2 linked regions of the Caenorhabditis elegans genome follow. The protein of the gene in region 1 purifies or fractionates together with the protein of each later gene. This does not show direct contact. Each region holds a gene or a part of one and is shown in the gene's direction. Other genes may lie near its edges.

Evidence for each region.
Region 2: the proteins of W03F11.4 (region 1) and T16G1.4 fractionate together in Caenorhabditis elegans (co-fractionation; one large-scale study listed by BioGRID). This does not show direct contact.

The regions. Positions count from the first base shown.
Region 1 is NC_003279.8:2,234,957-2,243,018, reverse strand, and holds W03F11.4 (WSN domain-containing protein), read left to right. Parts: upstream 1-1,766; 5' UTR 1,767-1,889; intron 1,890-1,937; 5' UTR 1,938-1,947; coding exon 1,948-2,077; intron 2,078-2,508; coding exon 2,509-4,912; intron 4,913-4,962; coding exon 4,963-5,147; intron 5,148-5,192; coding exon 5,193-5,370; intron 5,371-5,622; coding exon 5,623-5,740; intron 5,741-5,786; coding exon 5,787-5,973; intron 5,974-6,021; coding exon 6,022-6,181; intron 6,182-6,227; coding exon 6,228-6,454; intron 6,455-6,851; coding exon 6,852-7,378; 3' UTR 7,379-7,417; downstream 7,418-8,062. Other genes in the region: lgc-51 (Ligand-Gated ion Channel), read right to left, coding at 656-789.
Region 2 is NC_003283.11:12,939,521-12,943,898, reverse strand, and holds T16G1.4 (CHK kinase-like domain-containing protein), read left to right. Parts: upstream 1-2,051; 5' UTR 2,052-2,114; coding exon 2,115-2,267; intron 2,268-2,310; coding exon 2,311-2,709; intron 2,710-2,755; coding exon 2,756-3,005; intron 3,006-3,081; coding exon 3,082-3,185; intron 3,186-3,230; coding exon 3,231-3,392; intron 3,393-3,439; coding exon 3,440-3,514; intron 3,515-3,555; coding exon 3,556-3,687; 3' UTR 3,688-3,758; downstream 3,759-4,378. Other genes in the region: T16G1.3 (CHK kinase-like domain-containing protein), read left to right, coding at 82-462, 514-763, 808-911, 1,069-1,230, 1,281-1,355, 1,397-1,534.

The DNA.
Region 1 (8,062 bases):
GACAACTTTTGGCAACTTTTGCAAAACTTTTTGGCAATTTTGGAGAAGGTTCAAACAACTTTCCAAAACTCGGAGAATTCTGGCAACTCTCACCAATTTTTGACAACTTTCAGCCTTTTTCGGAATTTTCTCGGAAACTTTAGGCAATTCTCGGTGATTTTCGGCAATTTTTGACAATTTTTTCGCAATTTCACACCAATTTTCAACAATTTCCGGCAATTTTTGACGATTTTCGGCAACTTTTGACAATTTTTGGCAATTTTAAGAACTATTGAATTATTTGGCAATTTTCGACACTTTCAGGTACGTTTTGGTAATATTTTTTCAACTGTGGATAAGTTTTTGGCAATTTTCGACAACTTTTGACAATTTTCCGGCGATTTCGAAAACTATTTAAGCATTAGGAATTTTTCGGCACTGTTTTGGTAATTTTTGGCGATTGTGGACAAGTTTTTGGCAACTTTCGACGACTTTTGAAAATTTTTTTTTTTGCAATTTTTTGGTAATTTTCGAAAACTTTCGGCAACATTTGCAACATTTATACGCAGTTTGTATAACTTTCCAGCAACTTTTGGCAACTTTTGACAACTTTGTACAATTTTTTGCAATTATTCCAAAACCAGTCAAAAATTTGACATGAAAAAATTAATTTCACCTTGAATAATTTGCCATAATAACATCCAAAATCGCAGCCGGTGTGAGCCTCGGTTTTGTGCATTTTTCAACAAATGAGCCTTCATCTTGAGCAAAAGTCGTAACAATAACTGCTAAGAAATGGAATAAGCACATACGTATGTCAGAGAGGAAGAAGTTATGACGAAAAGAGAGAAGAATTGGAGGACCCCCGCTTTTGCTCCGTTGAAATTGAATTTACATATGCTTGTGTCAAAATATAGAAAAAAAAATGTAAAGCGGAAGTGAAGGGATCAAAGTTGAATTCTATTATCGTGTATTCAGGTTGGTTTTTGGCAAGTGGCCCAGAAAAGAGAAACTCGGCCACCAGTTTAGTTACTCACTGAAAAACGGACCAAGAATTATACAACTCATATTATTTTACGGCAATTGCGGTTCGGCAAATCGGCAACTTGCCGGTATGCCTTTTTGCCGGAAATGTTCAATTCCGGCATTTTTCCGGTTTGAAATTTGCTGGAATTTTTTACTTTTGGCAATTTGCCGGTTTGCCAGTTTGCCGGATATGTTCAATCAAACAATTTTGGCAGTTTTCTGGTTTGCCGATCTGCCGGAAATGTTAAATTCCGGCATTTTTCTGGTTTGCCAATTTGCTGAAAATTTTAATTTTGATACTTTGCCGATTTGCCAATTTGCTGGAATTTTGTAATTTTGGCACTTTTCCGGTTTGCTGATTTGCTGGAATTTTTTAATTTTGGCAATTTGCCGGTTTGCCTATTTCCCAGAAAAATCGTTTGCTGCCCATCCCTTGTTCAGCTCCTAGATGGGTAAAAAATTTATCCAGGTTGGCTGATTTGCAATCGAACGATTCAGCAGCTCCAAGATAGCTCGACGTTGGCGGGAAATTCAAAAAAAGGGATTTTTTGTTAAATTTGGAATATATGGATCTGAACGGTTCATTCAATGAACTTTATTCCAATAAAATCAGAAACTTTAAAACATTTCAATGAATAAATATTTCACACGTGTTTATGACTTTTGACTTTTGCATTCCCCATGGAACTTTCTCGAAACAAACAATTTACGTGGAAAATAAAACTAATCCTTGGTTTTCCATTATTAAAATATTTTCCGTGACATCCTTGCCCTTTTCGTCCTGCCCTACTTTCTTATCAATCTCTTCAATCTGTACAAAAATCAAAACTGAACTTCAATCAGTACCAGCTTTGGAGTTTTCTGAATAGAAAACTAATACTCAGGTAAGTTCTTTTTCTTTGTGTTGTGAAATCGACAATTTCTCGTTTCAGCTGTATCATAATGCAGTTGTTTGCATTTGGAATACCAATTTTATGGATTTTCCTGATTGTCAATGCTACATCAGCTACACATTCGTCAGTATTCAACAAGGATTCTCGTTTTGCTCGCCGCTTTAATCGAGCAGCTTCAGGTAATTTCTTGTAATTAATATTGAGCGCGTTCAAATAAATATTATTGGATTTTTATGCGCTTTCTTGATAGATCGCGGAGCTTACTGATTTTAAGGCCTTATAAGTTTCGTTAGTTTTTTATAATGAATGCTATTGAAATGCTATACGTTTCTGCTTGCTTCCACGTCATCTACTTCGTGGAGTTGTTTTTAAAATTCTAGTTGCACGCTGAAGAAATTGAAATATAACTTAGAAATAAAAGAGTTGCCACGTTTTGGTTGATGTGGAATCTGGATGACCTTTGATGATATTTATCTTATTTTTATTGCGCAATACTATTTGACTTTTAACTGTTGAAGTTTGCTCATGAAAACAAAACGTGGCTTCTCGTGACAATGTTAGAGAAACTGGTAGCAATAAATACCCGTAACTAGATTTATTATTTCTTCAGCCAAGACACTATCCGACAGTCTTCCCAACTTCAAATCACTTGCTCGTCTCGCCAATGGAATCTCGTTGGAAATTGGTTTGATTGATGGATCCATCCCCTCGGACGATGCAATTGCTGAGCTCCTTCACACGGGACCAGTCAAGCTTCAAGAAGTCATCAACTTGAACACAACAGCCATCGACACAGCAATCACTGAGTTGGAGAATCTTCCATCAAAGTTCAAAACTTCTCCTGAAATTACTGCAATTGAACAGCGGTTAGTTGTTTTGGAAACCATCCGGCAGGGATCTTTCATCAATGACTTCATGACTTGGAATGGAACATCAGAGTACACTGCTCTTTTGGAGGAAGTTCAAAAGTTGAATACTATCAATTTTAATTACAAGGGGTTATCAAAATATGCACAATCTGTAGAACTCGCTTTTTCAGATATTGAAGATAATCCCAAAGACAATTTAAGTGATAGTGATATTTTACGCTTCACAAGTTCTTTTGGGCATTACAAAAACAAATTTGAAAATCTCGAGGGCTCAGTGGCCAAGTTTCTCCCGCAGTTAGATGTTGTACATAATGCTAAGAAGATAGTGGATCAATTAGGGTTTGTGCAGTTGCTCCGTAAAGAGCAATCGTTCCGGGAGAAAATAGCAAACAAAGTGAACTTTGGTCAACTAGACTTAATGACCGCAAGCTTCAAGAGTGTTGACGAGTACGTTTTGATCTCCAAGTCGTCTCTTCCTGTCTTCAAAACACTCCAAAAGCTGATTAGAAGTCACACCGAGTTAGTGGATCTTTCACTTGTTTACGCGATTGGTTTACCCGGTGGTTCAAATGATTTGGAACAACTGTCACTGGTCTTTCAACAAGATTGGATTGCGGATAGGATTGGTAATAGTTCGGTGGTCATTAAAAATCTGAAAACTGCCTTTCAATATTTTGATACTTTAAAAAGTGCACTTGGGCTTGCTGAAAAATGGTGGAAACCGATGTCGGATGAACCGAAGAAGAAATCATTTGGAGAAGTGACGAATCTACAGTATTTCTTGGCCAACTCAGTCATGGATTCAACTGTTCCGGTACAAGTCATCAATGCTATGTTGGTGTGTGATAAGGGAAAAACAATGCTGGCAAACAATCTGAATCATTTGGAAGCTGCTTTCAACTCGATGAACCAGCTAAATGAAGCAGTCAAGAATCTACCGTCGTTCAGTTATCTCAGCTCTCTGACAAATATGTCTCGATTTAAGAACATCCTTAGTATCACACCTGCTTCAGCTGCTGATGGACGAGTGGTTATCAAAAAGATGATAGAAGAACCGACGTTTAACGAGACCAAAGAATATCTGAAGCTTCTTCAGTCAGATCTTGCTTCTCTTTCTGGGTCGATAGGTAGCATTTCCAAATTTATTTCGACTTTTGAAAACAATTTACCTGAAATTGATGAACATTATAGAACGGTTAACCAGAGTGATTCGGAATTCTTTGACTGCCTGAACAACATCACAGAGAAGGAACCAGTTGTATCTAATGCTTTAGATGTCATTCAGAAGATTAAAAACGTCTCGAAGTCTACATTGGACAGTGCAAAAACAATCAGCAAAATAGTTTCTGATTCTCGGCAACACTTGGAGATTCTTCAAAAGTCGGGTCAGTCTATGAAGAGTGCCGATGGACGAGAAGCATTGGCTCTGAAGACTTCATTCACTGATTCTCAGAACACTGTAAAAGATTTGGCGTTGGCTGTCAGAGGATTGACTCAAATCAACAAATTGATGCAGATTCGTGGATCCTTAGATGCTTTGAAAGGGGACTTCACTGAGATACAAGAAGCAGCTGCAAAGGCCCTGAGTTCTGAGAACGTCGCGGAAATCAATAAGTTGAATGGTCTAAGGGATGCTCTGAAAAAGACACTTGATGGAGTCAAAGCTTTTGTTACTGCAATTGGTGGAGCTCAAGGATCCAGAAGAAAGCGGGATACAGTGGGTTTTGCAAGCAATAAGAAGATCTTTGAAGAAGCTGCCAAATTTGTTGGACTCACTGGATTTGACATTCAAGCAATGCACAAAGCAGTCGCCGCATTGAATCCTACCAAGTTCGGAGCAATCGTCAGTGCTTTGGATGCTCTTGCCAAGTTGGATCTCGACTTTTCAAAGTACAACTTCAAATCAGCTCCAGCATCACTTCAAGCTTTGGATACCTTCTTCCTCCAGTACGCATCCAATTCTCAACCTCTGTCAACACTGCCTCCACCACCTCCACCGAATCCTCCACCAGCTCCTCAGCCTCCATCAAGTGCAGCTTCTCTAACTCCAGCTCCATCTGCTGCTCAGAATGCTCCATCAATTGCTCCATCAACAACAGAAGCTAGTGAGGAGGAATCTTCTGGAAGTATGCTATGGATTATCATGTAAGTTTTGGGTAGGAGGGAACTGACTTTTCTAATTTGAAATTTTGCAGAGGAGCTGTTGTTGTCGTTCTGATCATTCTTGTGATTCTGTTGTATTTGAAGTGCATGAGAAAGGAACCAAAGGAGGATCCAACTGTGAGCATAGCAACTACCACGACAACGGGGCCAGAAAGTAAAATTGATGATGATAAGCCAAAAGTTGTTGAGCAGCCAGAACCCAAGCCTGAGCCGGAAGGTAAGATAATCTGTGGCTTTTTTAGTGTATTCAAATATTTTTTAGTTGTGGTCACATCAGACATGGCATTCGCTATGGTGGATAATGTCGTAAATTCTATCGGTGCCGATAGAAAGCTACACAGGACTGCGGGAGAATTTTTCCATGAGTATTTTGAGCATGGATATGAAATGTGTAAGAAGAAAACGGGTAATCTATTGGAGAAGGATGTTTCAGAGAGAAGGTATGTTAGAATTCACGTTGAGTCTGCCTGCCTGCCTGCCGCCTACCTTGCCTACAAAGTGACTTGGAGTTCCAGCCAAAACGGTGTGACAATTAATTATGAAGGTGTTTAATATAGCTTTTGGTTACTAAAAAAATGAACTTGCAAAAAATTTAAAATGCGAGAATCTAAACTGCGACTTTGAGAGTTTAAGCCCAAAAAGGCACCTAGGCAGGGAGGTGTTACCTTCCCTTACCAATCCTTTTATTCCAGAAAGCAAATGTTCATTTGCTACCCTCAAACCATGCCAAAACTTGTCGACTTCAACAACGATCGTTTTATTAATGCGAATCTGATGGAAATTGACGGCGTCAAATGGATTATGACACAGGTGAGCTAATTTCTTTGTAGAATTCTAGTTAAACTCAACGATTCAGGGTCCAATGGACGGCACTGAACATGTTCAAGAAGAGAAGAAGAATGCGGAAAAGAGAAAGAGTGGGGAGAAGGTGTCGAAGAAGCCAATTGTTCCGAAGAAGGATACTCGTGAGAAGTTTTGGGGAATGATTGAGGAGTACAGAACGGGAGTTGTTGCTCAGTTGTGCCAGTTTAAGGAAGACGGAGGTTCGGGCTTCAGGGCAGGCGGCCTTCTTCAATTAACGATTTTTTCAGAGAACAAGTGTGCCGAGTACTACTCAACAGAAGTCAAAGGTGAAATGAAGTTTGGCAGATACACTGTGAAAACCGTTTCTGTCGAGGAGAACTTGGACCAATTCACTGATAAGCAGACGGCCAAGGTGTACACAATCGAGTTCCACAACAACAAAGTCTTGTAAGTCGTACCCTAGACTTTGAAAATACTAGGTTATAATTTGCAGAATGAAAGTCCCATTCCCAGTCAAGATTCTCGCGTTCTCTGGATGGCCTGATCACGGAGCACCAGCGGAGCCACACACTGCTCTTGACATTATCAAATACTGTGAAAGTTTCAAGACAAACGTACTGGTGCACTGCTCGGTTGGTGTTGGACGTACAGGAACACTTGTCGCTATCAAGTATGGTATTCAGTTGTGCTCGAAGCAAGAGGTATCGGATATGGCATTGGGTAAGGCGGAAAGAGAAATTTAAAAAGTTTCAGCTAGTATTGTACCTCTACTTCAAGCTTGTTTCGAATTCTGAAAATTAGACATTTTCTTCAGTAGTAGGCACATTGTAGGCAGGCTTGTAGGCATGGCATAATCGTTTTTGATAAGTAGTTACGTTTTTATACGTTCTGTCCCTTGCCTGCAGGCCTACGCGCTGACCTACTAGGAATGTTCTATAAATTTGTTAACAGGTACATGGGTTATACTTTAAAAGTAGGCACATCATAGGCAGGCCTTAGTACTACATTCGTACCTACCTATCACCTGCTCTCCTGCCTGCTACTATTTCATGCCTGTATGCCTGCCTACTAGACTAAATTTTCGTTGTAGTTTGAAGTTTGTAGTTTCCTTTTTCAGTTGTGGATCCCGTTCGTGCTTGCCGTTACGGCGCAGTTCAAACTGAGCAGCAACTGATCTACATGCTCCTCTGCATCACAAAAGCCTTGATGGAAAAAGCCGGTGTACTCTTCTGGGACAACTACAATGCTCTTCACTATTATTACGACAAACTCCAGACGGACTATTACGAGCCTTATCTCAAAAAGGACGAGAAGGACCCGGAACTGCTTGCGGCGAAGAAGAAGAAGTTTAAGGAGGATGGAAACAACTTGGAGGAGTATTTGGGGGAGAAGCGCAAAGAGTTTGATGAGAAGAATCCGGGTTATAGAGAGAAGCAACAGAAGGATAAGGCACTTTGGGATAATGATGTGAATAAGGAGTACGAGGAACGTCAGAAGTTTCAGGAGCAGTTGAAAAAGATCCAAAAAGAAAATGCCAAAAAGCCGAAGTCGGAGGATAGGCCGAGAAGAGGGGATAAGAGAAGAGGTGCAGCAAAGAAGGATGTGAAGGAAGAGGACAAGAAGAGTTTTTCTGTAATGGTCTGAATTTATTGAAATGTGAAATAAAGTATTTTGTGAAAGCCCGTTTATTGCAGATTTTAAGCTATGATTCTACAGTTGTCCAAAATTTGAACTTCGCGGCTTATCTCTGGAGGGACGAAGATGACATTAGAAATGAGCCTCGTTTGTTGTCGGCTACAGCTTAAAAGTGTACATGCCTACTGCCTGCCTTATGCCTTCAAGATTCTCATTTAGCGAAAACACAATTTTCCATTGTAGACAGGCACGTTCTCACGCCTCACTATGTGCCTACCACATGACTACCAGATGCACCTATTAAATGTTTGCCTGCCTACCGGCCTGACTTTAGGCCTGATAATATTTATCTGGTCATCTACGGCCTGCCGCCTACGTACTAGGCAATTCTGATGTACGCCTGCCTGACAACATGCTCAACAAAGTGACTACCCATCTGCTTGCCTGATGATTGCCTGCCTCCAACTCATTCTATTTGCCTGTCTGCATATGCACCTATCTTAGCCTGCCTGGCTAGGTACTTGTATAGGCACACATGCAGGTATTTTGTGCCTACACAGCAAGTTAAAAGCTTAAGCTATCAGTTAGTTCACGCTCAGTCGCGATGCAATTTTTATTTCAAATTTTGGAAAATAATTTTGAAAAATACAAATTTTGCGTGAAATTGTGGCACTTGTTTTCTTGCCAAAAATT
Region 2 (4,378 bases), on another chromosome or scaffold:
AAACATAGCAGGCCCCATATTTAAGTTCGCGACAAATATGGGGCCTGCTATTCAATAGTTTAAATTATTTTTGTTCTCCAGGGTTTCATGAGTCGCGTGATTCTTGTTGAACCCGATTGGACGGTCCACGGTGAACATCTCCCAAATCGTTTTGTTCTTAAAATCACGTCTTGTATGCATGTTCTCAATGTTTTGGATCAAATGAATCTTCAAGATAAAAGTGAATCTGCTTTATGGTCAATTTTTGAATATGAAGCACAAGGTCTGCATAACCGAGAAGTGAATTTATACGAAATTATTGGAAAATGGAATATGGATGATGTACTTATGAGCCCTAAAGTTTTCTTTTCGAAGAAATTTGATTCTGAAAATTTGACGAAAGGATTTTTTGCAATGGAATATGTCGATAATGCAATCACAAGACATCTGTATATAAACTTAAAATCATACGAACTTCATTCGGTAACATATATATGCACATTTATTTTACAATTCGTTAGTGGACTTTTTTAGATATTAAAATCTCTTGCCGTTTTCCAAGCTGAAAGTCTTAAGTTGAACAAAAGAGAGCAAGAAAGTGTTACTGGATATGACTTGGAAAAGATTGTTGGAAAAATGTTTAGCCAGAATGGGCTCAACAGTATTTTTGAACAAGTCCGCCAGATTAACAAGGAAGAACTATCTGAAGCTGCAGATAAAATTGCAGTGTTTGGCGTTGAGCTGGTTAATTTTGATTTGGTGAAGAACTTGAACAATTATTTAGGTCAGCAGAAAATATGTTGATCATGGCGAATAAAAATGTTTTAGGAATCAAGAAAAATGTTTTGGTGCATGGTGATTTGTGGTCAGCTAATATAATGTGGAAAGAGAACAAAGACGAATTCCGTGTCGACAAAATTATTGATTATCAGGTATCTACAATAAATAACTCAATAATAGGTAGCTAGGCGTCGATTCTAACAAAAACTACAATTTTCTCATTCCCAAAACTCTTGTTCAACTGCGAATATTTCAAAACTACTCTGAACCTCAAAATCAAAAACATTGTAACCGTTGAACATCTTCCAGTCGATTCATTTGGGAAATCCAGCCGAAGATCTTGTGCGCCTGTTCATTTCTACACTCTCCGGTTCCGAGAGACAAAAATATTGGGAAAAGCTTCTAGAGCAATTTTACGAATATTTCATAGAAGCTCTTGAAGACAAAAATGTTCCATATACTCTTGAGCAGGTATATTTTAACTGATATTGAAACATTACATTTGATGTTATTTTTTTCAGCTAAAAGAATCATATCGTTTGTACTTTGTGACCGGAAGTCTTCTCATGTTACCGATGTTTGGTCCCATTGCTGAGGTAATTTCAAATTATTTTAAATAGAAATATTTGGTTTCCAGGTTAAACTCGCTGAAATGTCAGATCCAGATGAAGTTAAAAAATACCGAGAGATTTTGACCGAGAAAACAAAACGTCTTCTAAATGACATGGAACATCGGCACTTGTACACTAGAGAAATCATCAAAAAGTGGAAATAGGACGATTTCAAAAATTAATTCTTTGAATACGCTTGTTTGCAAAGTTTACACGTGATGTGTTATCACCAGTTCGCAGTTTAATAAATCTAGAAATACCGAATGTTGAGCATAAAAAATGTGTACCTTATCTATTGTGCAGGTGTGGTAAGTTCATGTGATACATGGCCTTCTGACATTGAAAAAAAAATTGAGATATTCATTAAGTACAGTTTCATAAATTAAATCTAATTAAAACGACGTTCTTGAGCTTGAACGGTTTGAAAACATAAAAAAAAACCTTTAAAAATTATAAAAAATAGATGTTTATTGAAAGTTAAAATTTTAAAGTCAAATGGTAGTTTATTACTAAAAAAATAATTATACAAAAGCTCAATAAGACTATCGGGGATGTCATTTAATTAAAGAATGCGGTGGTATGCTTACAATTAGGAAATACTTTTTCAACTTGTGACTTGAATTCAGCGTATGAACCGAATGGTATGATAACGTTGATAGCAGAGACCACACTGAACTCATCATTGGTATAAAAAGCAACTGCTTCTTGTCTCTTAAATTTACTTTCTTCCTGCGACTAAGAAGAATGAGTGAATCTAAAACTCTTATCCAAAATGGAGATGGTTTATTTCAAACCCATGTTCAGCTGGAAGATGTTCAAGAATTGATTAGAGATCAAATGAATACTGAAGCAAGACTTGGAGAGAAGACAAAATATACTGTTGTTGGAGATGGAAATGTAAGTTCAAACTATTAAAATATTCACAAGACGTTTATTTCAGGGATTTATGAGTCGTGTGATTTTGGTTGAGCCTGAGTGGACTATCACAGATGAGAATCTCCCGAAGAAATTTATTCTGAAAATCACATCATGTCTCCATGTCGTTGGTCTTCTTGAAAAACTAAAAGAAAGCGAACAGAACGTGATAAATGATGCAAATGAAGCTGATTTGATGGCCCTATTTGAGAATGAATCACGACTTTTTCATAACAGAGAAGTTAATTTGTATAAAATTACGAAGAAATGGAATAAGAATGATGAGTTGTTAAGTCCAAAGATTTATTTTTACAAAAAGTTTGATTCTGAGAACCAAACAAAAGGAATATTGGGCATGGAAGCTGTTGATGATGTAACTGTAAGACATCTCTATTACAATGTAAAACCATTTGAGCTGCACTCTGTAAGTTTTAAATCAGATTATCAAGTAAAACTCAATTTATTTACAGGTATTAAAATCGATTGCCAGACTTCAAGCGGAAAGTCTTCATTTGACTGATCAGGAAAAACAAAGTATTGCTGGATTTGATTTGAAGAAGATGTCAAACACAATATTCAGTGAAGAAGGCATGCAAAATAATTTTAAGCAGACTCGTGAAATCAATCCGGAACGATTAAAAGAAAGCGTCGACAAAGTTGAGATTTATGGAACTGAGCTCGTAGATTTGGATAAAGCTATTAACCTAAACAGTTACATTGGTGAGTTTTCTTTCACAAATTTGGATATATTTTACCTATCAGTGAAAACTATTGAGAGATAAGATCTTTATGTCAGGTATCGAACGTGATGTCTTGGTGCACGGAGATCTGTGGTCAGCGAATATTCTATGGGAAGAGAATGAGGGAAAATTTTTAGTAAGCAAAGTTATAGATTACCAGGTAAGTCCCCAAAAAGTTGTGTTTTTTATCTCTGTAATATTGCAGCTCATTCACATGGGAAACCCAGCTGAAGATTTGGTAAGACTTCTTCTTTGTACACTTTCTGGAGCAGATCGTCAAGCACACTGGGAAAGGCTTTTGGAGCAATTCTACGAGTATTTCTTGGAAGCTCTTCAGGACAACGAGACGCCATATTCACTGGAGCAAGTAAATGTTTTGTAGTTCATGGTATTTGAACAATGTTCTAGTTTTAGTTAAAAGAATCCTACCGTCAATATTTTGTTACTGCTGGTCTCTTTATGTTGCCCATGTTTGGACCGATTGCACAGGTATTGTCTGTAACGTATATGAGAAAGTTAATTGATTTCAGATGAAACTTTCTTATTCATCCGACAACGAACACGCAGAAGAGTATCGTGAAGTTCTCACAGAAAAAGCTGAACGGCTAATGGAAGATTTGGAACGTTGGCACTTGCACAGTAAAAACTTTAAGCAAATCTAAAATAGAAGTGTAAATGAAATTTCTATGTAAATATTATATAAGTTGAGCCAAATAAACCGTTTGTTGTAAATAATATTTACAAGATATACAGATGTATAAAAAATAATAATGGCAGGTAAATTTACAAACCAAAAACGAATAGTTGTATTAATAAGTTCCAATAAGGCGCAATAAATATTCTAGCTATTAACACTCCGGCAGTATTATTTTAAATATCTATTTTTCTTTAGACATAGCCTAAATCAAATAATTCGCCTCAAATATCCAAATATCAATTAGTTACACAAAAGATAGAAAACTTATTTGACCAAATAGCGTTGTTTTTAGAAATAGAAAAAAAATAATAATGTTTTGTAAATCCACATCTAACTCAGATAAAATTTAGTTAACTTCCCCGAAAACTTTATTGCACATTATAGGGGTCCAATATTCAATAAATTTAGAAAAACAACTATTTTAATAAACTGTACCAAAGTTCATAGCAATGCATTGAAAATCAAGGGAAAAATATAAAATAACGGAAAAAAGTAAACTCTAGTATTGCACAACTTTTTGTAATTTCACATAATGTGGTTTGTGTTGACGATCAATCGTGCGTAATCTATGAAATTGCGTCACTAAGTAAGTAAAGAAAAACAATGGAACACTCCCATTTTCACTTGATTGAGGTGATTCTATATAAACAAAAATT